Alligator mississippiensis: one gene and its partners. The protein of the gene in region 1 purifies or fractionates together with the protein of each later gene. This does not show direct contact. Links are inferred from orthologs where the notes say so. Each region holds a gene or a part of one and is shown on either strand. Other genes may lie near its edges.

Evidence for each region.
Region 2: the proteins of ACTL6A (region 1) and ARID1B purify together in Homo sapiens (affinity purification with mass spectrometry; 5 studies listed by BioGRID and IntAct, with this or other methods). This does not show direct contact. The link is inferred for Alligator mississippiensis from reciprocal best matches to the Homo sapiens genes ACTL6A and ARID1B.
Region 3: the proteins of ACTL6A (region 1) and DPF3 purify together in Homo sapiens (affinity purification with mass spectrometry; 4 studies listed by BioGRID and IntAct, counting the BioPlex papers as one, with this or other methods). This does not show direct contact. The link is inferred for Alligator mississippiensis from reciprocal best matches to the Homo sapiens genes ACTL6A and DPF3.
Region 4: the proteins of ACTL6A (region 1) and MORF4L1 purify together in Homo sapiens (affinity purification with mass spectrometry; 6 studies listed by BioGRID and IntAct, with this or other methods). This does not show direct contact. The link is inferred for Alligator mississippiensis from reciprocal best matches to the Homo sapiens genes ACTL6A and MORF4L1.

Annotation. Positions count from the first base shown.
Region 1 is NC_081830.1:80,466,101-80,473,042, reverse strand, and holds the start of ACTL6A (actin-like protein 6A), read right to left. Parts: upstream 3,004-6,942; 5' UTR 2,920-3,003; coding exon 2,895-2,919; intron 2,809-2,894; coding exon 2,732-2,808; intron 1,147-2,731; coding exon 972-1,146; intron 415-971; coding exon 314-414; intron 1-313.
Region 2 is NC_081824.1:135,152,889-135,160,000, reverse strand, and holds the start of ARID1B (AT-rich interactive domain-containing protein 1B), read right to left. Parts: upstream 3,011-7,112; 5' UTR 2,589-3,010; coding exon 1,176-2,588; intron 1-1,175. UniProt on the Homo sapiens protein: Involved in transcriptional activation and repression of select genes by chromatin remodeling (alteration of DNA-nucleosome topology).
Region 3 is NC_081825.1:235,931,504-235,939,049, forward strand, and holds the start of DPF3 (zinc finger protein DPF3), read right to left. Parts: upstream 3,012-7,546; 5' UTR 2,878-3,011; coding exon 2,846-2,877; intron 1-2,845. UniProt on the Homo sapiens protein: Belongs to the neuron-specific chromatin remodeling complex (nBAF complex).
Region 4 is NC_081834.1:2,028,417-2,035,664, reverse strand, and holds the start of MORF4L1 (mortality factor 4-like protein 1), read right to left. Parts: upstream 3,011-7,248; 5' UTR 2,949-3,010; coding exon 2,909-2,948; intron 1-2,908. Other genes in the region: interferon-inducible GTPase 5-like, read right to left, coding at 6,913-7,248. UniProt on the Homo sapiens protein: Component of the NuA4 histone acetyltransferase (HAT) complex which is involved in transcriptional activation of select genes principally by acetylation of nucleosomal histones H4 and H2A.

The DNA of each region.
Region 1 (6,942 bases):
TAGTACATATACGAGAAGAACACCTAAAACATTTCCACTTTTATCCCAGTAAAACACAAAAAAGGCTCAAAACTAAATACATACAAAACGCAGATCAAATAATTGTAGAGAATGGGTGTAGTGTGCTATGCCACATAAACATGGTTATCATTTCACATTACTGAGAACAACAAAAAATACAAAAAATAAATCTATCATGATAAAGTATTTTCAAATAACTTGGTTTTGATTTTTTTTATAGTATTAAACATTTCTAAATGACAACAATGGAATTTAAGCCACTTCAAAAGAGAGAGAAATTATTTTTACTCACTGGTGCTTCTGACATTAGGACAGGATGCAAACTCGCTTCAGATTTAATGTGCATCTTGTACGTATGATCCAGAATTGCCTGGAAACTATCCCAGTCTTCAACTACAAACATTACAGCAGGTGGAGTAGTTCAATTAACAGTGACATTTGACTTCAAGTAAAATGTGTAATAAACACACACAACAGAAAGACATAACTTTTATCAAGAAGATCAAGCAGTAATCAGCAAAATTCACAAACTGCAGCAGCTTTAAGAAATCTTGTTTATATGACTCATCATCATAACAGCTGGCAAGTAGATTTGCAGCATGACCTTTAAGACTGTACTTCACACTATTAGCAAACTTGGTAGCCATCATTAGCAGCTACAAGCTTCCTTACTGGTGCATTTGAAGAGCAAGTCTTCACGCTACTCTTTACGAATATTTGCCACCCTTTTTTTTCCCCAGATGGGGTCTAATCCAGTCCACCAAATACAGGAAAACTCTACAGTTTTTCCTCAGATCAAGCAAACGCTCACTGCCTAACTAAGCAGCTTCTTCATAAAATGCATATATGACACATTACTGTTTTGCATGCAAAAGGCATAACTGCCATAGCCGTTCATTAAGTTAGCTATCAGATCTTAAAAGCAAGAGGAAAAGGATAGAGCACCATACTCATTCCATTTTTTAAGGGCGAAATGGCTTCCATGTTTTCCCTTGGGACGCGCAGTGCATTGGTGTCTATGTAGTAAGTGGGGCCCCCTTGTTTGCCTTTATCACCATCTATCTCCATCAGCGTACTGCCATCGTCCCTCTCCAGTACCACACCAATCGCTGTGGGAAAATCGACCTGAAATGTGAACACACATTTGCTCGCTCATAGACTCATAGAAAATTAGGGTTAAAAGAAACCTCGGGCGGTCACGTCTAGTCCCATCCTCAAGATCATCCCAACCAAAGCTCTGTCTAGCCAGGCCTTAAAACCCCCACAAGGATGGCGCTTTCACCACCTCTCTGGGTAACCCGGTCCCAGTGTCTGACTCCCCTCCTAGCAAGACATTTCTTCCTAATATCCAACCTTGACTCCCCTTGCTGCAACTTCAAACTGTTGCTCTTCATTCCGTCATCCACCACTGCCTACATCAGCAGTTCCCAAACCGACCACCTGTTTAAAACGATGTGCCGCCCACAAATTTTTCAGCTCAACCTTCAGTACCAGCAGCTAACACGTGTCACGTCAACTTGTTATCGTGAATAATGACACGAAGTCATTTATCCCAAAGAGTCGTTATAAGGAATAATCATTTCACAAATAATCACATGAAGTCATTTATCGCATGAAGTTGTAATAGTGAATAAAGGTGTTATAATGAATAATCACATTGTAATAGTGAATAAAGTTGTTATAATGAATAATCACATTACAAATAAACACATGAATTAATTATCCCATAAAGTTGTTATAATGAATAATCACGTGAAGTAATTTATTCCATAGCATCATTATAATGAATAATCATGCAAAGTCATTGTAACGTATAAAGTCGTTATAATGAATCAAGTCATCACAATAAACGTGTCGTGGTGCCAGTGACAGATTTCATAGACATTAGGGCTGGGAGGGACGTCGGAAGATCATCGAGTCCAGCCCCGCGCCCAAAGGGCAGGAAGTCAGCTGGGGTCATAGGATCCCAGCAAGATGAGCATCCAGTTTGCTCTTGAAGGTGTTCAATGTAGGCGCTTGAACCACCTCTGGAGGGCAGGCTGTTCCAGACCTTGGGGGCTCGGACAGTAAAGAGCCTTATGTCCAGCCTGAAACGGTCTTGCAGGAGTTTATAACCATTCGACCCTGTCATCCCTTGGGGCGCTCTGGTGAACAAACGTTCCCCCAGATCCTGGTGGTCACCCCTGATAAACTTACAGGTGGCCACCAGATCACCCCTGAGCCTGCGCTTTTCCAGGCTAAAGAGCCCCAGGGCTCTCAGCCTGTCATCGTAGGGTCTGCTTCCCTGATCTCTGATCATGCGCGTGGCTCTTCTCTGGACTCTCTCAAGCTTCTCCACATGCTTTTTGAATTGTGGAGCCCAAAACTGGATGCAGTACTCCAGCTGCAGCCTCACCAAGGCCGAGTACAGGGGGAGAATGACGTCCCGGGATTTGCATGAGAAGCATCTGCGGATGCAAGCCAGCGTTTTGGTCGCTTTACTAGCCACAGCATCGCACTGCAGGCTCATGTTCGTCTGGCGGTCAGTGACGACCCCAAGTCCCTTTCGCCCGTAGCGCTGGCCAGCCTAGCACCGCGGAGCCTATAAGGATGCTGCGGGTTTCCCCCCCAGGTGGAGAGCCTGGCATTTTTGGGCCCCGCGCCCCGCTGCAGGGCTCCCCAGGCAGCCCCGCTCCCCCCGCGGCGATGACTAGGCCGCGCCGCCCCTCACCTTGGGGCAGTCCTCGCCGGCATAGCCCGCCCGCACCGTGTAGGAGCCGATATCGAAGACCAGCGCCCCGACTTCATCTGCAAAGATGATGAACAGGCATCAATGAGCGCCGCCTCCGGGCGCGGCCGCGAGACAGGGCCCCGGGGCAGCCCGCCGCACTCACCGCCCCCGTACACGCCGCCGCTCATGACCGCCGCCGCTCGCCGGCCGATGCGGCAACAATAGCCAGGCTGCCCCGCGCTCGCCCCAGCGGCTCAACGAAACTTGCTGCCGGCCCCGCCCCGCCCCTGCCAGCCAATCGGGGAGAGCCTGGCTGTACCGCTGAGCGGGCCCCGGGCCGCCAGCCAATCGGGAGTGGCGGAAAGAGGGCGGCAGCCGGGGAGGAGCCAATCCAGAGCCAAAAAAAAAAATGGCAGGAAAGCAGCAAGTGTGGTTGCGGAGCGGGGGGGCGGGGCTGCTTCTGCTCCTCCCCGCCCTGCTGCCAGCACTTTTTAACCCTTCAGCGCCCCCAGTTAACCCTTCAGCTCCCAGCATGGACCCTTCAGCAGCCAACCATTGCTCCTCGCTCTGCTTCTTCCTCCTTCCTTCCCCCCGGCTCCTCTTGTGTCCTCACAGCTGCCCCTTCTGCCCAGGGCTGCTCCCCTGTGCCCACCAGGCTCCCTCAGAGGGCAACCATTGCCCATGGGGCCCTCGTCCTGTGGAGGTGGAGGGGCCCGAAGGGGCAGCCCGGTGCCACGGGCCGGCGGGGTTGGTGGCAGCCTGTTGAGCACTGCACAGGCCGCAGAGCGGCAAGCACACGTTCCCCGGGTGCTGCGGGGCGTGTGGCTGCCGCCACCTCCCTCTGCAAGGCCCCGGGAACACATCCTGAACCGGGGGCACGCAAGAGGCTGGGTTTGGTTTCCGGGTGCAAGCGATGCTCTTGGCTTACGTGGATGTTTGGCCAGCGATGGCACCTAAGGAATGTGTCCATGCATCGCACAACCGAAAAGGAAAGCAAGCAGGCCGAGAGTCAGGATGTGTGCCTTTCTCTGGCTCTGGAAAGTGAGCCCCTAAAGGATGACTTTGTTTCTACTTTTTAATTGGTGTCGTCCTCGAACCCTCAGTTTACACAGACGGCCAGCCTGAGTTTCAGTCTGATTCTGGAGCGTCAATGCCTCGAGGCACCGCAGATTTTATCAATCCAGTGTAAAGCCGCTCCGGTCAGTGGGTCCTGCGGCTGACGGCTGCCTGTGAGGCTCGGGTAGCAGAAGAAGGTGAAATACGGAGGGATGGATTTGGTTTCCAGGTACAGTGCTGCTTTTGTCAGCTCACATGGATGTTCAGCCAAGCTCAGTTCTCTCATAAAGCTTCTCAAGGTTCATTTACCAAGAATGGTTCAAGTTTGCAGATGACACCAAGCTGTGGGGCAGCGGGGTCGCACCTGAAGATAGGCTGCAGATTCAGGCGGACCAGGACAGGCTGGAGAGGTGGGCGAATCAGAACTAGATGAAGCTCAACACTGAGAAGTGTAAGGTGTCCAACAATCCCAACATACCTACATGCTCGGTGGCACCAATTTGACTAGCACCACAACTGAAAGGGACCTAGGAGTAATAATCAACCATTGCATGGACATGAGCCATTAATGCGATGCTGTAGCCAGCAGGGCAAACAATACCCTGGCATGCATCTACCGAGACATCTCATGTAAAAGCAAGGAAGTGATTTTTCCACTGTATTCAGCACTGGTGAGACCACAGCTGGAGTACTATGTCTAGTTCTGGGTGCTGCACTTCAACAAGGACGTGGAAAAACTTGAGAGGGTCCAAAGAAGAGCCACCCATATGATCAGGGACTTGGAAGGCAAACCATATGAGGAAAGGCTGAGGAACTTGGGCCTCTTCAGCCTAAAAAAAAGAGAAGGCTGAGAGAGGACTTGGTAGCAGCCTACCGCTACATCAGGGGAATATATTCATCAAGAGCTCGGTGAACAACTGTTCACCAGGGCACCCCTGGGGAAAACCAGGAGTAATGGCTGCAAACTCCTGGAAGACCACTTCAGGCTCAACTCTAGGAAAAACTCCTTCACAGTCAGGGTGTCCAGACTGTGGAATAAGCTCCCTCCAGAAGTGGTGCAGTTGCCATTCCCTGGAAATCTTCAAGAGGAGACTGGACAGTCACCTTGCTGGGGTCACCTGATCCCAGTTGTCTTTCCTGCCTAGTGCGGGGGGTTGGACCCAATGATCTTGAGAGATCCTTTCCAGACCCTAAAAATCTATGAATCTATGGTACCTAATGAATACATGTATAACAAAATAGTAGCCAAAGAGAAAAGAAAGCAGGCCAAGATTCAGGCAAGCTTTTTACTTTTCTGGAAAGTGAGCCCCTAAAAGATGGCCTTGTTTGTAGTTTTTTATTGGTTCCTCTGTAGCCCTTCAATCAGCACAGGCTATCAGCCTCAGTTTCTGTCTTATTTTAAATTGTAAGTACCTCAAGGCACCGTGGACTTTGTAAACCTGCTGAAGTCAGTGGAGTTATTTTGATTACACTTGGATCATCAAGAGCAGGCTTTGATTCATCATCATTACTTGTAAAGCTCCACACTTGTTCTCTATATCAATAAGTCTTAGTTTACTTGGACAAAAACATAATATGTCATTTTAATCAGATTCTCCTTTCACTTACTATAAAATGGTTATATAAATGTGTAAGTTTACTGATTTCAGAGTTATCCCAAGTTTACACTAGGGCAACATCTTTAGACTCAAGAAGACACCCCTCATTAGATTCAAAGCACCCCTTGGAAATTACCAGGTCATAGCTTTCACTCATTTTTTGACTACAGAAAAATAATAGAGCAATTCTTATGTTGCAAAGAACTCAGAAAAACAACAGCAGATCAGACTGTCTTTGACACTATGGACTCCTATTCAAAATCCCTGGGTTTCTCTTGTTCTCCTGGAGGTGTATGTGCCAGTTTTATGCAGTACAGCGTGCCAGCCTTAAAACAATCTCATGGCACCCTGGTTAAGAATCACTGCATTGGATGAGAAAAGTAGCTAGTCAAGTGTTGGCGTGGACTACAATTCCCAGCCTGCTACACACTGAGAGTGGGCTGGTGACTGACGGCCTCCACTTGCGTCTCCTCCTACACCAGTCACACTGAAATGCAGGGAAAATATTAAAACCCAGCAATAGGAGACAGCTGGAGATACAAAAAACAGCACTATTACAGGAGAACCAGGAGATGGTTGCACACAATAGCTCCTAAGGGTAAGCAATTCCTTTCATTTCATTTGACAAACACTGATTTTTTTTTTCCTGTTTCTTTAATGGGGGAAAGTCATTCATAATTTCAGCTCATCCTCTGGTCATTGAGAAAAAAAAAAAACCGTATACTTTTTTGCTGCAATGTCTTCTTCGACAAAACTGGAAACTGGCATTAGTGATGTCGATGTTGCTGCTGGCACTAGAAATATACATGCAAATCCTGTTTTGCCTTGGCTGTACCATGCAAAACTAGACTGGAGTGTGCCTCTTATGAAACATTTTGAAGATACTGTATTATCATGATTTCCAGCATGTGGCACTAGTACCCAAACTAGGATTGCTGGGGGAGGTAGAGCTGATAGGAATTAAGAGAATCAGTGGGGAAAATATGGAATTAAAATGGCAAAAGATTTTCAATTAAATGTTATTTGTATTTTTCCAGATTACTGTCATAATGTTTCATGGACACCATATAATATGTAACCTTTGCAGAGCAACCATAAAGCCAATCTAGTGGCTGCTAGATTATTTCTCCAGCCTAGGAGAATTGTTGGGTGCTGAAGAGCCCCCAAAATGGCTCTTATGCCAGCTGAAGGTGTGTGGCAGGGGGCGTGTGACTGATGTATGCCTGTGCCTACTTGGTCCCTGCTGCTGTAATGGCCATTGGGGACTGTTGGCAGCCACTGCAAGAAAAGCACAGACCTTAGGCTGTCCTTGCCTGCTCTGGGGATCTCTGTGGTGCTAATCAGCCCATGGATTTGGGAAACACAAAGGTACAAAGTGTGCAGTTTAGGATTTTAAATATTCTTCCACTAACGTAGAGAATTCAGCTGTGGGTATGTGCATAATTGCATGTATTTAGATTGCAAGTGCCTCAGGCTAGAGTTGTGTAGTCTTATCTTCCCCTGCTCTGCAATGGTCCTCAGCATCTGTGGAAAGGGGGTGCTGAGTGCTACCTATCA
Region 2 (7,112 bases), on another chromosome or scaffold:
AACCTTGCATCTGTGAGCGCTACTGCTCAGTTATTATTTGTGGCAAGAATTTTTGTGACTGTATTGCTCAGCACTTCTATTTACATCAGCAGTGCTAAATGCCCAATGGTGAGAGAGGAGCCAATCAGATGGCAGATTAGATGTCAACTCAGAGGCAGCTGTCTGGAGACTATTACAGCCAGTTTACCTCCACAATTCAAATTCCAAACCTTGCAAAGGAGATCAAGTCACTCTTTAGGTTCAGACTGCTAGCAAGAAACACCAAGAGCGCAAAGCCCTTTCTAATCAAGCCCTTGACTTTGGAGGAGGACAAAAAAAAAATAGCCAGCTATACAGAGCATCCAACAATCATTTGCTATCTATTGATTTAGTAATATATTGGATTTAGCTAATCAGTCGCCTGCATTCGTCCAAACAAGCAGGGCTTTCAGGGGCTAGGCCTGTTTCTACAAAGGAAGGACTCTGCTGCTCTAATTGGGGACCATGCATGCCTGGACGGGCACGGCTTGCTCCAAACACCCCCCGCACTTCTACCAACGGGTTATTCTTGTCTCGGGGAGCAGACACGCGCGCACCAGCGAGGTCTAGGACGGATCTCGGGGCGGATCAGGGGACCCTTCGCCACTACGGCACGCACGTTTCGAGCCGCCAGAAGGAACCTGGCAGTGTTTGGAGCGCCTTCCCAACAATGAACTCATCTGGGTAAAAAGGCAGGACAGAGCTCTTTGCTCTGGAGGGTTGGGGGGGGGAGAAAGAGACAAATTTAAAAAAAAAAATCCTGATGGAGACTGATCAATATCCGCTCCCAGGCGCTGCTGGAGTGGTCAGAAAAGCAGCACCTTCCCTCTGCATCCCTTCTCCCACCCTCCCCACCCCACTTTGGGACTGGGGCCCTGCAATCCCTGGCTCAAAACAGACGGCAAAGGCTTGGGGGCTTGAGGGGAGGCACAAATAAGCTGGAAAAAAAAGCGACACAGCCCACGGCCTACATCCAGCCCACCCCAGAGGCTCCCCGGCCTAGCCAGAGGCGGGCATGGGGACACCCCCTTGCCATAGAGTTGAGCAACAAGCAACCAACCCGGCAAAGAAATCGGGGCTCCTGCCACCCGCCCGCCCGCCCACACGCGTGAGGGGAGGGGAGGGGAGGGCACCCCTGGCCCTCACCCTGCGGTTACCTGGGTCCTGCTGAGGGGCTGCGCGGTGCTGCCCGGGCTCATGGCCGGGTGACTCCTTTGTTGCGCCGCTGCCCAGGCCGGGCTGGCCGCCCCGTACTGCGAGCCCATGTCCTTGGCCAGGCCCATGCCCGCCGCTGCCTGCTGGCTGCCGGGGGCCGCGGCGGCCGCCTGCGCCTGCGGCTGGGGCTGGGGCGGCGGGGCGCCGGGGCTGCTGTACTCGGCGTAGCCGCTGCCGTAGCTCCTCATCATGGGGCTGGGGGACGTGAGCAGCTGGTTGAGCGTCGGCGTGGCCCCGGACGGGTGCGGGCTCTGGCTGGAGAAGCGCTGGAAGCCGCCGCCCGCCGCCGCCGCCTTGCCCAGGCCGCCCGCCGCGCCGGGGCCCAGCATCACGCCGCCGCCCTGCTGCCGGGGCGAGCTCAGCACCCCGTACGAGCCCGCATACGCGCCGCTGGCTCCTCCCGCGCCCGCCGCCGCCGCTGCTGCCGCCGCGCCGCCGGTCCGGCCGTAGCCGGGGTAGTGGTTGTACTGGCTGTTGGCGAAGCCCTCATGGGAGTTGTGCAGGGGGTCCATGCCGCTGGGGGCCGCCGCGGGGTGCATCAGCCCCATCCCGGGGCTTTGTTGTCCGCCATGTTGATCAAAGCAAGGCCCGGCGCGGCCGGCGGCGGCGGAGCTGCTGCCGCCGCCGCCGCTGCCCGGGGCCGCGCCGGGGCCGAAGTAGGCGCTGAAGTCGGCGCCCAAGCCGCTGCCCGCGCCGGGGGGAGGCGGCGGCGCTGGCGCTGGCTGCTGCGGCGGCGGCGCTGGCTGCTGCTGCTGCTGCGCGCCCAGCGCCGGGTGCTCGTAGCGCGGCTCGCCCAGCTTCTCCTCCTCCTCCTCCTCCTCCTCCTCCGGGCCGCCTTTGCTCAGCAGGGGCGGCGGCGGCTCGGCCTGGGCGCCCCCCGCGCCGTCCTTGCCTCCATGTTGCTGCTCCATGTCTGCACTGGGCTGCGCAGCGCCGCTCTTCTGCATGGCATGGTGCGGAGCCGCCGCCTGCTGCTGCGGCGGCGGCGGCGGCTGCTGTTGCTGTTGCGGCGGGAAGGCGCCGAGGTGGTGGTGGTGGTGGTGGTGGGCATGGTGCAGGGCATGGTGCGGGTGCAGCGCCTCGCCGCCCTTCAGCTTGTGGTTGGGGAGCAGCCCCGCGTCCATCGGGGCCGCGCCGCCGCCGTCCTTGTCCGCGTTGTTGGCCGTGCCCAGCTCGGCGCGGTGCTGCAGGACGCTGCCCAGGCCGCCGCCGTCCCCGGCGCCCAGCATGGAGCCCCCGCCGCCGCCCGCCGCCGCGCCGCGCTCCTGGCTCAGGCTGCCCGGCAAGCCCGGCGCTTTGCCCTTGCTGTTGTTCGCCCCCGCCGGAGCCGCTGCCACTTGCGCGGCCATGATCATGGCAACATTGCGAGGCCCGGGGAGGAGGAGGAGGAGGAGGGGTGGGGGGGGGAGCCGCACAAAACAGAGAAGAAGAAGAAGAAGAAGAATTAAAAAACGCAGCAGAGGAAAGAGACGGGCTCCGGGGAGGGGACCCGCACACGCCCGCCGCCGCACACGCGAAATTTACCGCAGCTCCCCTCCCCGCGTGTCCGGGGCGGCCGTGGGTCCGTGCCTGCTCCGGCTGCCTCCCTCGCTGCTGCTGCTGGAAGCAAGCGGGGGTGGTGGTGGGTTTCTTTCTTTCTTTTTTTTTTTCAAGGGGGGGGGATTTTTTTTCCTTTTTTTTTGTTGGTTCGGGTTTTAAATGAAACTTTTTTTTCTTGCCTTTTCCTCCCTCACCCGGATATGGGGAAATACACGTCTGACTGAGCCGCTCCGGCCCAGCATGGCATGGGAGAGCGAGCGAGAGAGAGAGAGAGCGAGCTCCGACAACTATTATCCACTTCTCTCGGCCTGCCGCCGCGCGCCTGGAAAACGCGGACTGGACTTTCCCTCCCTCCTGCTCCGCAGCCGCCGCCGCCGCGCGCGGGGAGGGCAGGAGAGGAGAGGAGGCTACCTCGGGAGTCCCGCACCTTTCTGGGGAAGGTTGGGCTCCCCGCTTTTCTTTTTCTTTTTCTTTTTCTTTTTTTGCCTGGCAAGGACCCCAGTGTTAGAGAGAGGGAGACAGAGAGGGAGCAGGAACCCTAGTGTTAGAGTGAGAGAGAGAGAGAGGGGTAACCGCAGCATAACAGAGAGAGGTGACCAGGGCCCTGGCAAAGAAGTTTGGCACGTGGGGCAAAGCCCACAGCAGCAGCCCGCCCTTGTCTCATGCACAGATCCAGGAAGCACATGTCCCCTCATACTTGCCGAGGAGCGAATGCAGCAGCAAGAGCTGCCCTCCCCGTGTCCCCATGCCCCCCCTCCCCGCCATGAGCTGTTTGTGGCTCTGTCCCACCCCCGGCCCAGTTAGGCAGGGCCTGTTGGCATCCCTGTCACTTTGGTGCCTGGGGTGGCCACCCCACTCAACCAATCCCTTGCTACAGCACTGGAGGTGACCCTAGTTTTGGAGAGAGAGAAAGGTGGACCATAGTGTTATAGAGAGAAAAAGAGAGAGGTGGCCCTAGTGCTAGAGAGAGAGCAGTGACCCCAGTGTTAGAAAGAGGGGTGACCCAAGTGTTAGAGATAATGAGAGAGAGCAAGGTAACCCTAGTGTTATAGAAAGAGAGAGGTGGCCCTAGTTCTAGAGAGCGAGATAGGTGACCCTAGTGTGAGAGAGAGAAAAGTAACCTTAGTGTTAGGGAGAGAAAGAGGTGACCCTAGCGTGAGAGAGAGAGGTTACCCTACTGCGGAGGTTTGCAACCTTTATTTCATTTGCAGACTGATAAAAAATTTCAAATGGAGGCACGGACCCCTTTGGAAGTTTTGAATGGAGATGCGGACTCCTTTGAATTGTAAGTGTGCAGGTATTCTTAATACTTTTAATTGATGGTAGTCGTCTTTTACAGACCCCTTAGGCTCCCGGGGCTCCGCAGACCACAAGTTGGAAACCACTGCCCTAGTGTTAGAGAGATACAGAGCTAGAGGGGTGACCCTAGTGTCAGAGAGAGGGTGGGGAGAAAACTCACTTGGTCCAGTTCATTCCCTCATCTTTTGTACAGAGCCTAATCGTGTATGAAACTGATGCTCCAGTTCCTCTAAATCCAAAAGCCAAGAACTAGGCAGCCGTGGGTCAAATCCAGCACAGATAAAACTCAGCTAGAATAGAAAGCACTTCCATCAGGAAGGAATTTAGCTCTCCTCCTAAGTATGTTTTGGGTCCTGGTCAAATGTAGTCTGGGAGCTAAAGTGGGGCAAGAGAACAACCCAAACACCTTGTGGGTGCTGCATACTTTTGGGTTAAGAAGAAAAACAAAAACCTAGTGAAATTTGCCAAACCTCTAACCTGTTTCTGAGTCCACCTTGCAGTGTTCAAAAGCTTTCTCCTGCTATTCTTAAGAGGAATGCAGTGTACTGGCTGTGATGATTTGATGAAAAAATAAAATACGATTTTACAACAATGTCTTTGGTGTGCAGAGGTTTGTAAAATACAATGTGAAATTCAGCGACGGGCATTTTCGCACTTGTCTCTAGTGTCCGGCTGGCTCAAAATCCTAGGGATTGTTTGAACTAATTATGTCTTTAATGTAACTGTTAGGTTTGGGGCTGTTTTCAACACATCCTTTGTATTTCTATGCAGATCAAGAGGACTTAAAGAGAGTAAAACATTTTCAGTGTTACAATCACATCCACAAACATTATTCCAGGATAGGCTAGATGTTAGTGGAAATGTAGTAATATAAAGTACAGTGTGTGAGCAAAGCAACATTTACTCAGCATTAAACTGTTACATTAATAATAATGACTTTCATTTATATAGTAGCCCTTTCGGCAAGTGCTGGTGGTTAGTTCTTTTAAATAACTGCTTTGATTCACGTAATAACTTGATATACATAAAGGTAACAGTCATATGCAAGATTTAACTGGTAAAATGAGGGGGAAAATCAACTAGCTTTTTCCGGACATCAGCAAAATAGGATATTAATGTTATTTTGTCAAGATTTAAATTCATTACTTGGCATAAATATTTTATCACAATGTTTTAAACAGCTGTATTTTCTGGAAGACAGTGTTATGAATAGGAAGGCATATTGTGTCCATTGTGAAAACATTGAAAAACAGAAGCTTCATGATATAATGTTGACTTACACTCAAAGATTATTGAAACATGTATGAACAACGCATGTCCGGTGTTTATTGACTTCTTAACTGCTGTGCAGCAAAATCAGAAAATATTAGGACTTCCATTATGAAGTTAGTTTGCAAGTCTCAGAATTTGTCAACTATGTGTTGATAACACTTGTATTTCAGCTACATCCAACCTTGCTTTTTTTTTTTTCTTTTGGTACTGCAAGTGTAGAAATGTTATACGGTTAGCAGAAAACGAGAGTGTGGAAAAAATTGGTGAGTAATTCTAGTGGGGGGAATCAGGTGCATACCCAAGGGTCATTACAGCCTGCAACAACAACAAATTGCAATTCTATGCAAACTGCGAGAAAGAGGGTATATCATCTTTGTAGAAAAGAGAATAACAGAACTGTAAGATGAATTCATGCCAAATCATTCATCAGCTTTTGCCAAGAGAATACTACATCTTTGTTAGTGAGCCTTTTTGACATTTTCTCCTGGATTTTCTTCTTTTCCATATTCAAACACACACTAATTATACACATTAAACCACATAAGTTGATTTTTGAAGTCTTTCATATGCAAATATAAATATAGAGGTCTACTTGTGTCTATTTATTTATGTGTGTGTTCTAAAATCAAATACAAAATCAATTACACATTTATGCTTTTAGACATTAATGTAAAAGTGTGTATGTGTGTATACGGGTATATATAAAAATGTGATAAGATGTACTGAAGGTAGCTCACTTGAGGATTACAATACTTTCTGACTTACTTGGTAACTAGTTCTGAACAGGAAAATAAGCCACAAAGTTTAACACAGATTTACTTTTAAAATATTTTCCCTGGAAAAAAAGTGAGGACTCTTCAGCACTGAAAAGTTTATACTAAAATGTGTCCTTCCATTTATTTCAGCAAGTCAGCTACAAGATTGGAACTAAAAGGCTATAAAATAGAGGCCCTCAGCACAATGAAATCAGTCTGTTATAAAAGGCAACACATGCCAGTTTTTCCTCCCCAATGGCAGATGCCACACCCTAAAGTAGACAGAAGGCACTGCAGTCTGTGCAAGTGAAGCACGACACAAAGCAACTATGGTTCAGTTTTTTAGATCGCAAATAATGTAGAAATATACCTTTTGCTATCTTTGCTCAGATGATGAGTGGTAGTGTATGTTAAATTCAAATGATCCTTTCCAAAAGCTCTCTCCATATGTATGAATTATGAATATAAATGCATATAATGTAGAAAGCTGTAATTGCCATGCATATTATCTGTTGCAAAATGACTAGATCAAGTTTTTAGTCTTACAAGTGTACAACTGCAACTTTGTATTTAAATTTTGATCATTTCTTCAATGTTATTATTTCTTAAAAATGTATGTTATTTAATACAGTACTGGTTCCTTTTGCATAAACCATTGCTATATACTCCTACTGAATGTTGATTTTTTTTGATAAAATTTAGAACTCTGCTCTAGGATCAGTTTCCCAGATTAACGTTACAATTTTCTAAACTTACTGTTGTTGATTCTGACACCTGTGCAGATCCCTAGGCCATCTTTGTTTAGGTGGTCCAGTATGAACACCATATACCTTTCACAGCCGTAAGACAGCCTTCTGCTTGGCCAAAGCAAATTTTATAAAATAAAAGGAGCAAAAGTATGAAAAGTAATAGTGAATAGATGCATAGAAAATAAACCAATACTTTTACAGTATTCAGGCATTAATCCTTGTAAAAGAAGGTAAGGGAAAACAGCATTGTTGTTAAGGGTTTTTG
Region 3 (7,546 bases), on another chromosome or scaffold:
TGGAATATGTTATCCCACAAGGACTAGCCTCCAATAAACAGAGTAACCCATGTGTCTTTGTGCTGAAGATAGAACACTGTTCGTAGATAAATGCATAAAATATATAGGATAGGATCTCCATCCTTGGACGGTTTTAAGACCCAGCTTAGACAAAGCCTTGACTGGGGTGATCTAGCTGGGGACAGTCCTGCTTTGAGCAGGGGGGTGGATTAAATGACCTCCTGAGGTCCCTTCCAACCCTCATTTTCTATGATTCTATGATACCTGAGCTAGGATTTCAGCCTATAGTATCTACATTGTCCCCTATCGCAGAGCAAAACCTTTGTGTGGCCAGTTTCTGTAGGGGGCGTCTGTGGGTTTTGAGACACAATCAAAACGCAGACGGAGGAAATGCAAATGTCATTCAGCTCCCTTTCATTGTCAGGAAGGACACATGAGGCTAAAACACTGTGCACTGCATCCTTTCCCCCCTATTATGTGTCTTACTGCTTTTGTCCTAATTTATCCCATGCATAATTTATTTACATGTGTATTGTTTCCTGATCAGCAACTTTAAAGAATAAATGAAAATTATAAAATGTTTTATTAAACAAGTTAATAAAAAAGACAGATGGTGTCAGACGGCCCGCTCCAATCCTGCTCCCTCTGCACAGTGTTCATACTTTAAAAGGCATACAGAGAAAAGCAAACCCTGCACTTGATGCCTATTGTTTCCTCTCCTCTCACCCCAGGGGAAGGAGGGGGGGGGAAGAGCTAATTATAAAGGGTCCAACCCTGCTCCCACTGACTTCAGTGGCAACAGGATTAGGCCCCCAAAGAATGTAAGTGCACACAAAACATTGGCAGGATCTATCAGCTGATGTTAGAAATTACTGTGTGGAGGTAATGAGCGCCCCAAATATATCTGGGGGCAACCTAATGGTCCATAATCACGTCTTGCAGTAAGGGTGACACCTTCGTACCATGCCCCCGTTCTTCTTGCACTCTCCCGCCGGCTTCCTCCATTGACTTGAACGGAGTTATCCCCATTTGGCCCCCACGAAAGCAGGAGGGGAGCCCGGCGCGGACACTCTCTCTCTCTCTCTACAGTAAGGTTCAAATCCCTTTTCGGCAGCTCGCCCGTAAGAGCAGCGGCGCCTGAATGACTTTCCCAAAAGGGGAACCAGACCCAACCTTCCAACTCTTCATATTTCCATAAGGGTGTAAATAAACTCAGCTCCCCCCTCCCCCGCAGAGAGGGGCAAAGACAGACCCAACAACCTGTATTGTGTATAGTCGAGATTGTTTTCAGGCACCTAAGTTGCCAACAATGAATGCGCACGATCTAACTCTTCTTGTCTTGTCTTTCTTAATTGGGAGAAAATAAATACTCGAGCGCTCTAAGCAGCAGCAGGAGGAGAAGGAGGAGGCTGCGGGAGAAAGGGCACGGGGAGAAGTTGATGAGAGAGAGCCCGGCATCAAGCACCCGGTGCAAGTGGCGGAGTACTGCCCACTGCGGGCGCCTTCAGCGCTTATTCAGGTTTCTTTCTCTTTCAAAAAAAAAAAAAAAAAAAGCATCAGCTTCTCGGGGAAGGCGCCCCGGGCCGCTGCCCCGTAGGGAGGAGGCTTCACGTGAGTAAAGGGCTGCTGCCACAATGGAGAGAGGTAAACGCGGCGGCTGCGTGCCCCGCTCCAGCTCGCTCGGGGACAGCAGCGGGGAATCCCTGGAAAAGCCCCCGGCTGCGTCTCCAACGGGGCTGCGAGGGAGCGGAGTTGCGAGGGCGCCGCAATCGCATCGCTAAAAACTCCAGGGCGCCCGCGCCAGGTGCCACGAGCGGGCAGGGAAGTGGTTTCCACCGGGCTAAGGCAGCCTCTGGCCTCCCCACGGCCGGGGCGAACCCCACTGTCCCTAATGCCGTCGGGGATTAGCGGCAGACGGGAAAGCAGGGACGCGATCCGGGGCAAGGCGGCTGCTCTGGTGTCTCCTTCCTCCCTCCCTCCTGCTTTAAAGCCGCCTTCCCTGGAGCTCGGGCAGCCCCGCGGGTTTGTGCCGCGCAGGCACCTGCCCCCGACTCTCCGCCTCTCGTTTCCTAGCAAGCAGCCGCCCGGGCTCCCCCGCGGCCGGAGCCGGCCACGCTGGGGCTCCGCGGGTCCCTCCCGAGCCGGAAACAGAGCCGAGCCCCGCGGGCCCCTGTCAAAGCGAAAGGCGCTCACATGCAAAGCAGAGCTCCGCACTTCCTGCCGTGCCCCGGCCAGCCCTGACCCGGCTCATTCATTTCGTGTCAGGCCGGCCGTGGCGGAGCACTGCCGCGGTGCCCCCGCCCCCGGGGATCTGCGCCGCCGGCCTTGCGGCCCGCTCCCAGCCCGCTCCGCCAAGTTCGTCCCAACTCCGCGCCAGTTGCGAAAGAAAAGTCCTGGCTCGGGTGGCAGCGCCGCGAAGCCGAGCGGCGCCGCAGCCGACTTCCGAGCCCAGCCTCCTCCCCCGGCCCCGGGCGCCCAGACAGCGGGCGCAGGACACTGGCAAGTGCACGCAGCCCCGCCGGGTCCTCCGGGATCTCGGCGTTTCCCAGGTGCGCGCATCCCGGAGATCTGCCAGGCAGCACCGGGGCCACCCTCCCCGCCTCCCTCCCCTCCAGCCCCCCGAGCCAATTAAGGAGACAAATATAACAATTTCTTCTCGTTAATTTCAGCGCCGGGCGCCCGCGCGCGGGGCACAAAAAGAGAGTGGGTGCGAGCGAGGAGGGCGGCCGGGGAGAGCCGCGCGGAGGCTGCAGGCGCCCGGCTCCGGCTGGCAGCGAGCGGCGGAAAGGCGCCTTTTTTCATATTGAAACCACGCGGAATATGTACATTTTTGATTCCTACTTACGCTTTCAGGGGGTTGTGAATGACAGTCGCCATTTTGCTACAATGTAACAGAATATTGTGCCTCGGAGTTCTAAAGGTTCGCTCAGGGGAAGCGGCCAGCCAATCCGCGCGCGGGATACCGGCCCGCGGTCCAATCAGGGGCCGCGGGCGGAGCTCGGTCTCTGCTAGTTATTAGGGGAGCTGTCAAAGCCCAGAGGTCACTCCCTTTCTGTAGAACTGGAAGAGAGCAGGTCTTAAAGGGGCAGTTCACACTCCTAGGGCTGTCACCGCCCCGAATTTGAGTGAGGGGGGGGTGAGTGGGAGGAGGGAAAGACTTTTTGCAGTTATCTCACTGTTTCTTTAAAGAAGAGAGAGGGAGAGAGAGAGAGAGAGAGAGAGGAGTAGGGGATAAAGCATGGGTCATTCATTGTCTCTTTGCCTTGCTGTCGCTGCCTTGCATTTCCCAGATGGCATGCCCCCTTCTTCACATGCCAGGATTGGATGCATGCCATTTCACCAGGAAAATAAATTACATGGGTATTGACATTTGATTCCGCATTAGATCCTGAAGCTTTTCATTATTATTCCCCAATGTGTTTCCCTTTCTTGAAAGCCATTTTCCTCTTTAGGCTTCTTGGAAATGCTAGTGCTCACAGTGACTCTAGGGCTGCACCCCCTCCCCCCTCCCCTAGGAATTTCTCAATGTCAGTCATCCAGCTCCTGCAGCCAGTGCACTGGTTACATAATGCACAGTGGCCAAACCAACTGCCTGCTTGTTTTCTGTTTTTCCCACAAAGCAACTTCTCAAGTTAATCGCCTGGGCTAGCATGTTGAGACCAAGTCATCTGATCCTTCAGCAGAGAAAGGGAGGAGGAAGGCTTTTAACTTTCATATTTACGACGCCTAGTTTTGTGGTGGCAAAGTAACTTGGAGGCCAGTAGTTTTGCAGCAGATGAGGTGCCGTTAAAGTTGACTGACAGGAGAGTCACCAAACTCCAGGAAGTCTGGGTTTGCCTGTAACTAAGACTTTGCAAGTGAATAATCCAACATGAGCTAAGAGGTTCGCAAGATGCCTAGTTGTGATCTCAGTGCATCTTAGAGGCAACTCCATTAAAGTTATGAAGTTACACCAGTGTAATCTGACCTAAAAAAAGTCTGAATCAGACCCACAAAGTTTGGTTTGATATTAGTGGAGGGTTTTTTCATGCAAAACTTCACTACCTCAAAGGTCTTTTTTCCCTTCAGGCATCCTCTGACCCTCAAAAAAATGAAACATAGGCCTGATTTTGGTGTAAACAGAAGATCACAAATCAAGAGAAATTCAAGTGAAATCAAAGAAGTTACACTGCTTTTGTACCAACATGAGGGAGAAAAGAATAAAGATTTGATTATAATCATTCAGACAACCAGAGTAACAATGGAAGTATCAATAATTCATTATATATTCAGGTGGCAAAATAAGTAGAGGCAGCAGTTCTGGACTACTGAGCTGAATTAAGAAAGGGCCAAAATGGTTATAACAAATCTTATTTTTTTATACCTTGGAATTTTTTCGACGTAAGGGGTGAGCAGAAAAAAAAGTTGCTGCAAACAAGATAAAGATGCAAGAGGGGAGATACAAGGAGGGAAGGATGGAGTCAAATAAAGAGACGATGGAGTACACATTTGTTTCCCTGCCCTAGGGTTGTTTCAAAAAAGCTAGATCAAGTCTTTTCAAATGTGTCTGCCGTCCCTCTTCTCAAGAATGTTGCCTCATTAGCTGACAGATTAAACAAATTACTGTGCCAAGTTTCTATCCCTGAAGGTGATCTACTCTTTCATCTAAGTAGATCACCTTCTGTCCCTGAAGGTGATCTACTCTTTCCTCATAAGCCTTTTGGCTAAAAGCACTTCTCTACAGAACCCAGATTTTCATGCATCACAGCATTTCCAAGCTGTTGGGACATCCCAAAACATAGTCATGGGAAGTAAGTGTTATTGTATGATTCTATAAAATATAGTAAGCACTCAGCTAACACTGAGTACAACAGGCTTCTTATGCTTGGCTTGCAAGGAAGATCATCCACAAACTTAAAAGCGTTTGTAAATGGGCAAGTGATATATATGAAACAGAAACGAACAGGTTAATGTGTATGTGTACCAATGATCCAAGGTAGAGGACATCATAACTGTTTCACTGCATGGCATAAGCCCTATCCTGCTGGCAGAGATTGTTAGCTTCCTGCTTCTTAGCCAGGGTGCCAGGACACCCTGGGATGCCATAGGAAGTGTAAGGATATACTGACAGTGAGGCGTGAAAAGATAAGCAGACGGGGAAACTCCCTGCCTAGCTGTACCCCCATCCACACTGCCTGGCCCCTCTGCACAGAGGTCAGTACTGAAATAAATACAGTAGGTTTTGAAATTGGGTGCCACTCACTTTGCAAAAGTTACAGAGGGGTGCCTTGAGCCTAATCAGGGGTTCACTGAGTCTAAAAAGGCTGAGAACCACTCCTGTAGCTAAAACTGTGGGAGGTAATTGGCTCTGTCTCCATCCTCACAAAAAAAAATCTTACTTCCATGGAAACTTAAACACTACCACCATGGGACACCAGGTGGTCATGGATTTGTTCACATAACATTTATTTATATTTGTGGTACCCACCTGCCTACAGAAAGTTGACACCTAGATGCTATATATAATAATTCATTCTGGAATCTTATGATGAACTGCAGTTACATGTGTGAGGATTATATCAAACTCCTTTGGTTGTTTCACCTATACTCTTCCCATTAATCCATCTCTATATATCATTTATACTCTGCCCTCCCCCATCCCCCTACCCCCAGCACCTTCAGAAGATACTATGTTACTGTATATTGTTCCAGAAGTTATTTCTTTTCCCCACAAGCTACACCTTTGCGTTCAGGTGTACAGCCAGCCCTCACACACAATGTTGGTGGTTCTTCTGTTTACTATGAAGCAAATTTCAACCAAATATTTGCATGCTTAGCATATTAGCCAGAGACCCAAAATAAGTATCATTCTGTCTCAGAACAGTGACAGCTTTTTATATGTGAAAAATAAATAAGTTAACGTATCCCAAATGCCTGCAGAGTCAAAGAAGGCCTATGAGCTGTGCTCTGGAAAGGTGAGACATCCAACCATGCAAAGTCCTAGGATATTGTACCATCAAATGGTAATATTTTAAAGGTAAAGCAAAAAGCTGTTGTAGGTCATTTCTGTGAGTTTAATGAGTCTCTCAGGGTTCTGTACTGTTTGACTCATAGGCCCCTGAGCTGCAGGCAGTGGAGAAGGCTGAAAATATAGTTCTAAGCCATATCTGTGCTTCCTTGAACCTTAAGTCATGTAGGTGTTGGGCCAGTCCCAACTCCCAACAACCCAAATTGACTGACAGTATAGCCAATGGCATGGGGGCCCATAAGCTGGCCATAAGAAACCCACACTGCCTGCTTTTCCCAGCCACATCTCATATACCAATGGTCAGCACAGATCTATCTACAGGACTGTTATGCCACTTGAGAGTCTTTTTACACAGCTAGAGGGCAGCTCTGCAATATCAGAGCATTGCAGAATACAGCTAATCGGCAACTAAGGCATCTAGCTTTACTGGCAAAGGCATACAAATAGTAAGTTTTACCTCAAACATTTCTAAAATATTGTCCCAGGAATGCATGCATCATAAAAATACAGAAGGATCTGGTATGCTGCATCAGCTATTATAGATTCTTGTTTAGAATAACCTATTCACTCATGGCTTCACCACTTGCAATTAATGCAACCATTGATTACTCGTGGTAATAAAACCTTTATCCTGCACCATCACAAATTGTATTTTCTGCCTCACATGCTCACCAAAACATACACACTTTCATCATTAACTGAAATCACAGGAGAATGCAAGAAGATGAAAATGATTTTAAAATCTTTAAATAAAATAGGTAGACAGACTTAACAAGGCACTGCCAGCTACTTTTAAAGCCAACATTTAAAATTAAAAAAAGGAGCGGGGTAGTAGGGGAGGGGTTATATAAACCTAGTGGGTGGAATCTGTTCTATCAATACGAAGTCTGGGTATTCAAACTTTATATATACAGAGCATGAATAGTTTTAGGAGCTGAAACTCGTCTCCAAATCAGACCTAATGAGTAGGGCTTGCAATATGATTCACTGCTACAGGAGAAAAGTAGCTGTAGCTCCTCCATGTAAGTTCAATGGAGACTTGAGACCACTGGATTGGCACCTCTAACCTACTCCCCTTCAGACTTCTGCACTTGTAAGTGCTTTTCATTCTTTCTTAATTGGGGGGGAAAATAATCAAGCAATCTAAGCAGCAGGAGGAAGAGGAGGAGGATGCAGGAGAAAAGATACAAGGAGAAGTTGGTGTGAGTGAGCCTGGCATCAAACACCCGATGCAAGTGGCAGAGCATAGCCCACTACAGGCGCTTTCAGCACTTATTCAAGTTTGTTTCATTCAAAAAAAAAAGCATTGCTTCTCGGGGAAGGCGCCCTGGGCCACTGCCCCATGGAGAAGCTGCTTCACGTGAGCAAAGGGCTGCTGCCACAATGGAGAGAGGTAAACACGATAAATTCTTACAGCATATAAAGGGAAGTCCTGCCTCTATACAAAGTTCTATTTTTGCTGTAACTCTTTTATATTACGACTCAGTTTCACCCTAGGTGAATTGTTTCTTTTCTCTCTTTGAAGTTTCATTGCAGGTT
Region 4 (7,248 bases), on another chromosome or scaffold:
ATGTGCAGACAAACTGGAGAATCAAGAGGAGAACAATGAATATTACTAGAGGTCTATAAAACTTGACATACAAGGAAGGGCTGGAAGAATTGTGCATTCTTCTTCTTTCTAAACAGGGGCGGGATTTGCTATAGTCTTCAAATAGAAAGTTTTTACAAAAAAAGTGAAGTGATCAATGGTTCCCTTGTCTTGTCCCCAGTGGACAGAGAAGTAATGGGCTTATGTTGCAACAAGGGATTTTTGGGTTGGATGTTAGGAAGACGTTTCTAACTGTGACCATAATTAGGCACTGGAACAAATGACCTAGAGGCTGCAGAAGCTCAGTCACTGGAGGGTTTTTAAGTGCAGGAGAAAACAAGCATTCACGGCAGTGGCTGAGAGAGAAACAGTATTAAATTTGATAGGGGGGGGGAGGGGCACCAGTTCTCACACCTACCCAACCCCTCTCCCCCACCCAACAACTTGGACTTCTCACTTGAACCTTTATTTTCCCCCCAGATACATAACCCGATTCACCCCCACCAGGGAAGTATTCCTTTAACCTCAGCCAGGTCGAATCAGATGCCAATTGCTAGTTCCCGTAAAAATGCCCCACACAGAAATCTACTAAAAATACCCTAAGTCCAAGTGTAAATGTAAAGGTTACTCAGTCTCTTGTTTAAGGTAAAGTGAGAGAGCAGCATATCATATTTAAGACCTCTCAATACATGCATTTAAGTGCCACAAGTCCTTCCACCTATATGTTTAAATTGCAACAAAATGCACCCCTTTAAAAAAAAAAAAAAAAAATCTTAAGCCGTCTATAAAAAGCCATACATACTCCCTCTCACTTTCCAAAATGTCTCAGTTAGAAGATCATCTCGGAGAAAGTAGACGATGGCTGCATTACGCGAGTCACTGTTAAAGGGAGACTCAACATGAAAATCATCTTTTAAAAGCAAGTTACTGTTCCTCCATGTCTTGGATTAAAAATCCAATTCCCTTCTCGCTGCTCATGTTCCATTTATTCTTTGTAGCCGGGGATAATCGCTTACACGGTTTATTTTCAGAGTCTGAATATTTGAGTTCGGGCCATTACAGGGGATACGAGTTTAAACATAAGCACTTTTTACTGCTCCCTCTCATTTTACATTTTTTCCTCCTCCACGATTGTGAAAACTCTTATTTTTGGTCTTAGGGCTTTCTAAAAATATGGTTTTATGGAAGTTTTCTTTTCTGACCAAAGTTTTAAAATGCCCTAAATTACAAACCCGCTTCATTTCCCTCTGGAATTTTACTGATGTGTTTTTATACAAAATGTTGCACTCCACCCAATCCAATATTAGTGGAAGGATTATAACGCAACATTTACCATAATCCTCTCGAAATTCCTGAGGTTTTTACACAATAGCCACGCTCTACATATCAAACCGTGGGACGCAGTGTTGATATGTGATTGAACATGGTTTTGAAAGGTTGCTACAAAGTATGTAAAATTACTGCCTTTTTTAACCAGCTCCCTACTTTAACCATCTATAGCAAATGGCTCTTTTTAGAAGCCAGCAACGGTATTACACAAAACACTGCTCAGAAGCAGTCAAGACTTAGCTAAATCTCCTGACTTTTCATCCATCAGCTACATTAAAATCAGATCTTGTATAATAAAACCCTGCATCTTTCAAGACACTGTGTCTGTTGTGTCACATCCTAATTGGAATTAAGACTTCATACGCTTAAAAAAAAACAAACAAAAAAACAGGGGTTGTGATGCCAACACAGAGTCCACTATAGTTACAGCAGCGCTCCAAGTCACCGTTATAATGACCACACTGTATTTTCCAATATCCTGAAGTCAGATGTAATAAAAGGCCTATTGTAAAGCAGGAGTCAAGACCCTAACAGGATTATCTTTTAAAACTTAAGTAAATGCATACTTCCCAACCCAGGAAGTGAAAAATCCTTGCAGTTCTACTAAATAATATTATTATTATTATTATTAAGGAAAGTTTGGTCTCCAGCAGATTATTTCGCTGCGTCCCAGTGAGAAAACAAAATACAGGCTCATTTTCAGGGGAGCAGAAACCCCCGCCAATGCTCACAGATGAGCTGAAAGCTATGGGGAAGGAAAAAAACCGCAGACAGAGAGGATATTAACTGAGCTTTGGCATCGGATCAAGACAAAAAAAGAGGGAGCTGTAGCCACCAGACTGCCCTGTGTTCCCAGAGAGGGAGTCCAAACCTCGCTGAACTAAAGGCCTCATTGAAAGCCTCCCAAGGGCTGCAAGCTCCTGTAAAATGGAGCGTCTAGGCCTCTTGCCCAGGCGGACGCCCCCGAGCCGGGCGCTGGCCAGGACAGCGGGGCCAGGGCCCTGCCGCAGCACCTGGCCGTAGGTACGGGACACGCACCCGCAGCCGCCTCCCCTCGCCTCCGGGGTTGCCGCAGCCGCTGCTTCGTCTTCCCGGAGAAATGCCATTTCCTTTGTTTCTGGTGTGGTGCGTGCCCTCCCCACCCAGCGCAGAGGTGGCGGCTGGGGGGGTGGGGGGGGATGTGGGGCTGTGCCCGAGGCGCTGGCAGCGCGCACGGGGGGGGCTCGGCGCAGGGCGAGGGCAGGGTCTCCGCCCAGCCGAGCCGCCGCGGCCCCGCAGCTCCCAGCATCCCGCTGCCCAGCCCATACGCCCCCCACACCCAACCGGCCCCTCAAATACAGCCTCCCCCAAACACCCCTCACACCCACCCTGCCCCCCCCAATATCACCCCACACCCACCCTGCCCCAATATACCCCACCCACCCACAAACACCCCCCACACCCACCCAGCCCCTCGCCAGACAACACCCTGCCCAACACAGCCCCCCGACCAGCCTGCCCCCCCCACACGCACCCTGCCTCCACTGCCCCCCCAGGCACCCCCGCCGGGGCCCGCACTCACCCTCCTGGAATTTGGGCTTGGGGTCCTGCTTGGGCGCCATTTATAAGTGACGCTCCCGCCGCCGCCCCCCGCGGGGCCTCGCGCCTTGCAGCCGGGCCCCCCCCCCCCCTCCCGGCGCCGCTCTGCGCAGGCGCGACTCAGCAGGAGGCGGGCCGGGATTTGTAGTCCGCCCCAGCGCCGCTCTGCGCAGGCGTGGTCCACCAAGAGGTGTGCCGGGATTTGTAGTCCGGCTGGCGGGCCCCGGAGCTGCTCTGTGCAGGCGGAGTCCGCGCCCCCGGCGCTGCTCTGCGCAGGCGCGGCTTGCCCCGAGGCATGCTGGGGCGTGTAGTCCTGGGGGCTCTCCTAGCTAGGCTGCAGGAAGAAGGGTCTGCGAAGTGTGCTGCCTAGTGCCGGCAGCCAGCTAGTGTGTGCGTGCCCTCTGCGCTTGCACTGTGGGTGGACACTGCTCCCCCTGAGCTCCCGGGCACGCTCCAGGGTTGCACGTGGAAAGCCTCGGGCTCCATCTGACCTTGGTTTGTGCCTCCAGCAGGAGTCTGGGCAGGCTCAGCAAAGGTTTGCACGGTGCTTTAATGCCCTTAGGGGCGTGATTCACTGCCCGGGGCTGGGTTGCAAAACGGACTAAGGAAAGGGAAGGGGGAAAAGAGAAGAAAAGCATGCGCCCAACGTGGGGCTCGAACCCACGACCCTGGGATTAAGAGTCCCATGCTCTACCGACTGAGCTAGCCGGGCACTGGCTTGTCCTCTGAAGACACCTCTCCTTGCTCCCTCTCTGGTCCACATGTGCAAGGACATGGGCCAAATTATGGCCCCCTTCAGCACCTGGCAGTCCCCCCACCATTCACCCGGGACAGGGGAAATGATGATGCGATGCCAGGGCGCTTGGCTGTGATCCTGGAGAGCTGTGCTGACCCCTGCAGGACAAAGGCCAGGGTTTTAATTCTCACTGTGTGCGTCTACACATTCATTAATGCACAGTAGTTATATATATATATGTAATATATATATATAATATTTAATATTTAATGTTGGTAAAATTTAATATCATTATATATGTTTATTTAGCTATAGAAATAAATATTTTTTGCAAAAAAAAAATAATGTGCAGCCGTTGCTACACATTTACTTTAGTACTTGCAGTATTAAATGTGCAGTAAATCCAGCTGCTGCACAGTAGCCCTGGCAAATGCCTTTTTTGTAAGGCTCCCATAAGTAACGGAGCCATCAGGGAGGTGTTGGGGCTCAAAATGAAAGGGCTGGGAGGCCAGGCTAGGGATGGCAGGTGGTGGGGCATAGAGACTGGGGTCACGCTGAGCTGCTGGGTGTTCCCACAGCCGGGACAAGGACAAGCCCAGCCCCGGCTGCTGGGCAGGTGGGATCTGGCCGAGCCACGGTGCTGCAAAGGGACGTGGCAGGAGTGTGGTGAGCGCCATGGAGGGAGCGGGAGGCCTGTGGCATTGTTGGGAGGTGAGGTGCATGCCCGGCAGGGCCGTGGCCTCAGGGCTGCAAGGGAAGTGGAGGGGATAGAAGGGGCCCAGGTGAGGGGCTGGGGGGACATGAGGGGCTGTGGAGGGCCAGCCCAGGGGTGCTTCAGGGTAGCACAAAGGGACCGAGGGGTCAGGCGGAGGTGTTGGGGGAAACAAAGGGGTGAGGCTCCGGCTGGAGGGCTCGGGGGTCCGGGCAGGACTGGGAGCAGGTGTGGTGGTGGCAGCAGTATAAAATGGAGGGCTGGGCGGGTGCAGGTACAGCACAGAGGAGACAGAAAGAGCATCCTGGGGGGAATCAAACGGAGGCCGTGTGGGACTCATGGAGGGGCCAGACCCAGGGCTGTGCACTGGTATCAGGCTCGTGATATTTGTGATGTGCTATTTCCTCACCCCTGCCAGTGTCTGACCGGTGCCGACCCACGGGACTATGCCAGGCAGTGAATGGCCTGCTTAACCCAAAGTCTCTACACCCAAAAACAGTGGTTACAGCAGCACGCCACGATAAGTTTGCCACCGGCTTTGCAAATAGTCACCCATATCCAGCCTGGCTTGGGGAGGCCAGGTTTGGGAAGCTCAGTCTGGCCTTGCTTTTGTGGGTCAGGTTAAATTGCTGTCATCTCTGCTTGGGGACGCAGATGGCCAGTTGTGAACTGGAACCATTTCATCCTGGCTTGGAGTCTGGGATGGTAGTGAGCAAGGTAGTGACGGTAGTGAGCAGTAGTGACACCCCATAACCAGCTGGAGGAAGGCCCAGGGCTCTTTCCTCCCGTGCAGCACCAGACGGTTGCACTTCGGGGCCAGCCAGGGCACTGCACAGGGGGCCGGTTCTTAAAAACAACATATGTATCCCAAGGGAGTGCTTAAGGGATAGGCAAACGAGAGGTAGAGGTTGCTATGGGGTGAGCTAGTAATGGGAGGGAAGAAGAGCAAAGCAGGAGGTTCGTGCTGGGAGGAGGAGTGTGTGCGCTGCTGCTATTTGCCTTTTGATTTAGGAGGGGAACAAGTGCCCCTCATGGCTGTGCCAAGTGTTTTTAGCTAGGGACCAGACAGGTTTTCACCATGTTCTCTGCTAGAAGGACCAAGCACTGACCTGTTGTGCCCATGGTGACATGACCAACCCAAAGCAGGCTCAGGAAGCTTGTCCTAATGAACCCCAGTACTCTACAGGAATCGTTATAAGGAAACTTTAATGTAAATCTTAATTTGAGAAAACAGACAGTTAAAAACAGAGAAAGGCAAGCGATGTCTAACCACGACGTGATTATTGCAGCCGCAAAAGGTAAAATGCTCATAATACCTGGAATAGCAAGAAAGCAATCCTGGACTCTTCACAATCAGTAGCAGGTGGTTTACTGATTAACTGCGCTCATGCTAACACGGCCTAAATTATTCCTCCAAAGCATCCGAAGACCTACGGAAGCTCCCACCCCAGGCGTGGGGTTTTGCTCCCCGCCGTCTCCAAGCAGAGGCAGATGTGGGGGAGCGGGGGGGCCCAGGGGGTCTTTCCCCGAGGTTAACGGACACTCCGCCGTGTGTCCCTGGGGCAGCCTCACTGCACTCCCTGCCTCATTTTCTCCTCCAAAGCTGTCCAGCAGGAGTGTCGGACTGACTCTGTGCCTAGGCTGCATCTGGACCCCGGGGCTCCTCAAGGGCCAGGTTGGCGAGGGCCGGATCGGCTCCCCGAAGGCCAGATCGGCGAGGCAGCACTGGTGAGGTGAGCGGTGGAGGCAGCCATGGGTGTCACGCAGCCAGGTAACACCTGAGGCTCAGTCCCCTGGATTGCAGTGGCAGGCCTGCCCCCATGCACCCTGCCCCTCTCCCAGCCCTATGGGTGGATCTGGCCCACAGGCCTTCAGCTCGGGAGCCCAGTTCTGCAGATACAGGCACATGCTGTCTTGGGAGGAACCGGAGAGAGACGCTTGTGGAGAAGAGCTCCCCTTAGGACAAGTCCAAAGTGTCTCTGGGCCCAAACCACATTGCCTCACGAGCAGCGACTACTGGACATGGGCCGCTGATGCAAAGTAAATGTGGGTCACTGCAATTAAAGTATGATGTAGTTTTGGGAAGGAAAGGGGCCCAGGCTGGGACCCGCAAGGAGGCAATATCGGAGCCTAGGAATCCTGAAAGCTGGACACAAAACTGAATGATTGTTCAGAGAAGCAAAGGCTCATGCCGAGGAGACGGCCCCGTGGCAGAGATGGCCAAGCTCATGGGGATGTGCGGGAGTCTCCAATCACCCCGTTACTCCCTCAGGCACCTGAACGGGTAGGCTGCACCATTGGCCTTGCTCGGCGTCAAGTCCAGAAGCAAAGCAAGCCCAGCACGGGGGAGGAAAGCTGCTCAAGGAAGCGAGATGCCTGCTGGGATTGCTGTCACAGCCCAGGGCAGAAGAAGCACGTGGCTGGCTGCTGGCAGCTCTCCCGCGAATGGGGCAGCAGGGGAGAAAGCGCAGAGGGGTTTTCACTTGGTTGCATCCCTGTCACAGAGCCAGCGCTGGCCCATTGCCGACATACAGGCTTCTCACTTCGAAGCCTTTTCCAGCACACGTATGGCGTCGTCAGCAGCATCATTCAGGAAACCCTCCAGCAAGCTGTACATGGTCTTGTAAGAAAGGATGCCTGATACCACAGAACCTAGCACGGGACACACTATGGGGAGGATATTGTTGAAAACCAAAGTGTTTTTCACTGCCCCACCTACTGCCTTGGACAGGAGCTTAAGGACGAGATCTTTTGTGATTTCTTGGCCCAGGGGGGACTTTATCACAGCTCTCAGCTCTTCGATGGGCTTGTTTGTGCGCCTAGCAATCCCGTCGAGGGAATGTTCATCCAGGCCAAAGTCCTGGCAGCACTGTGT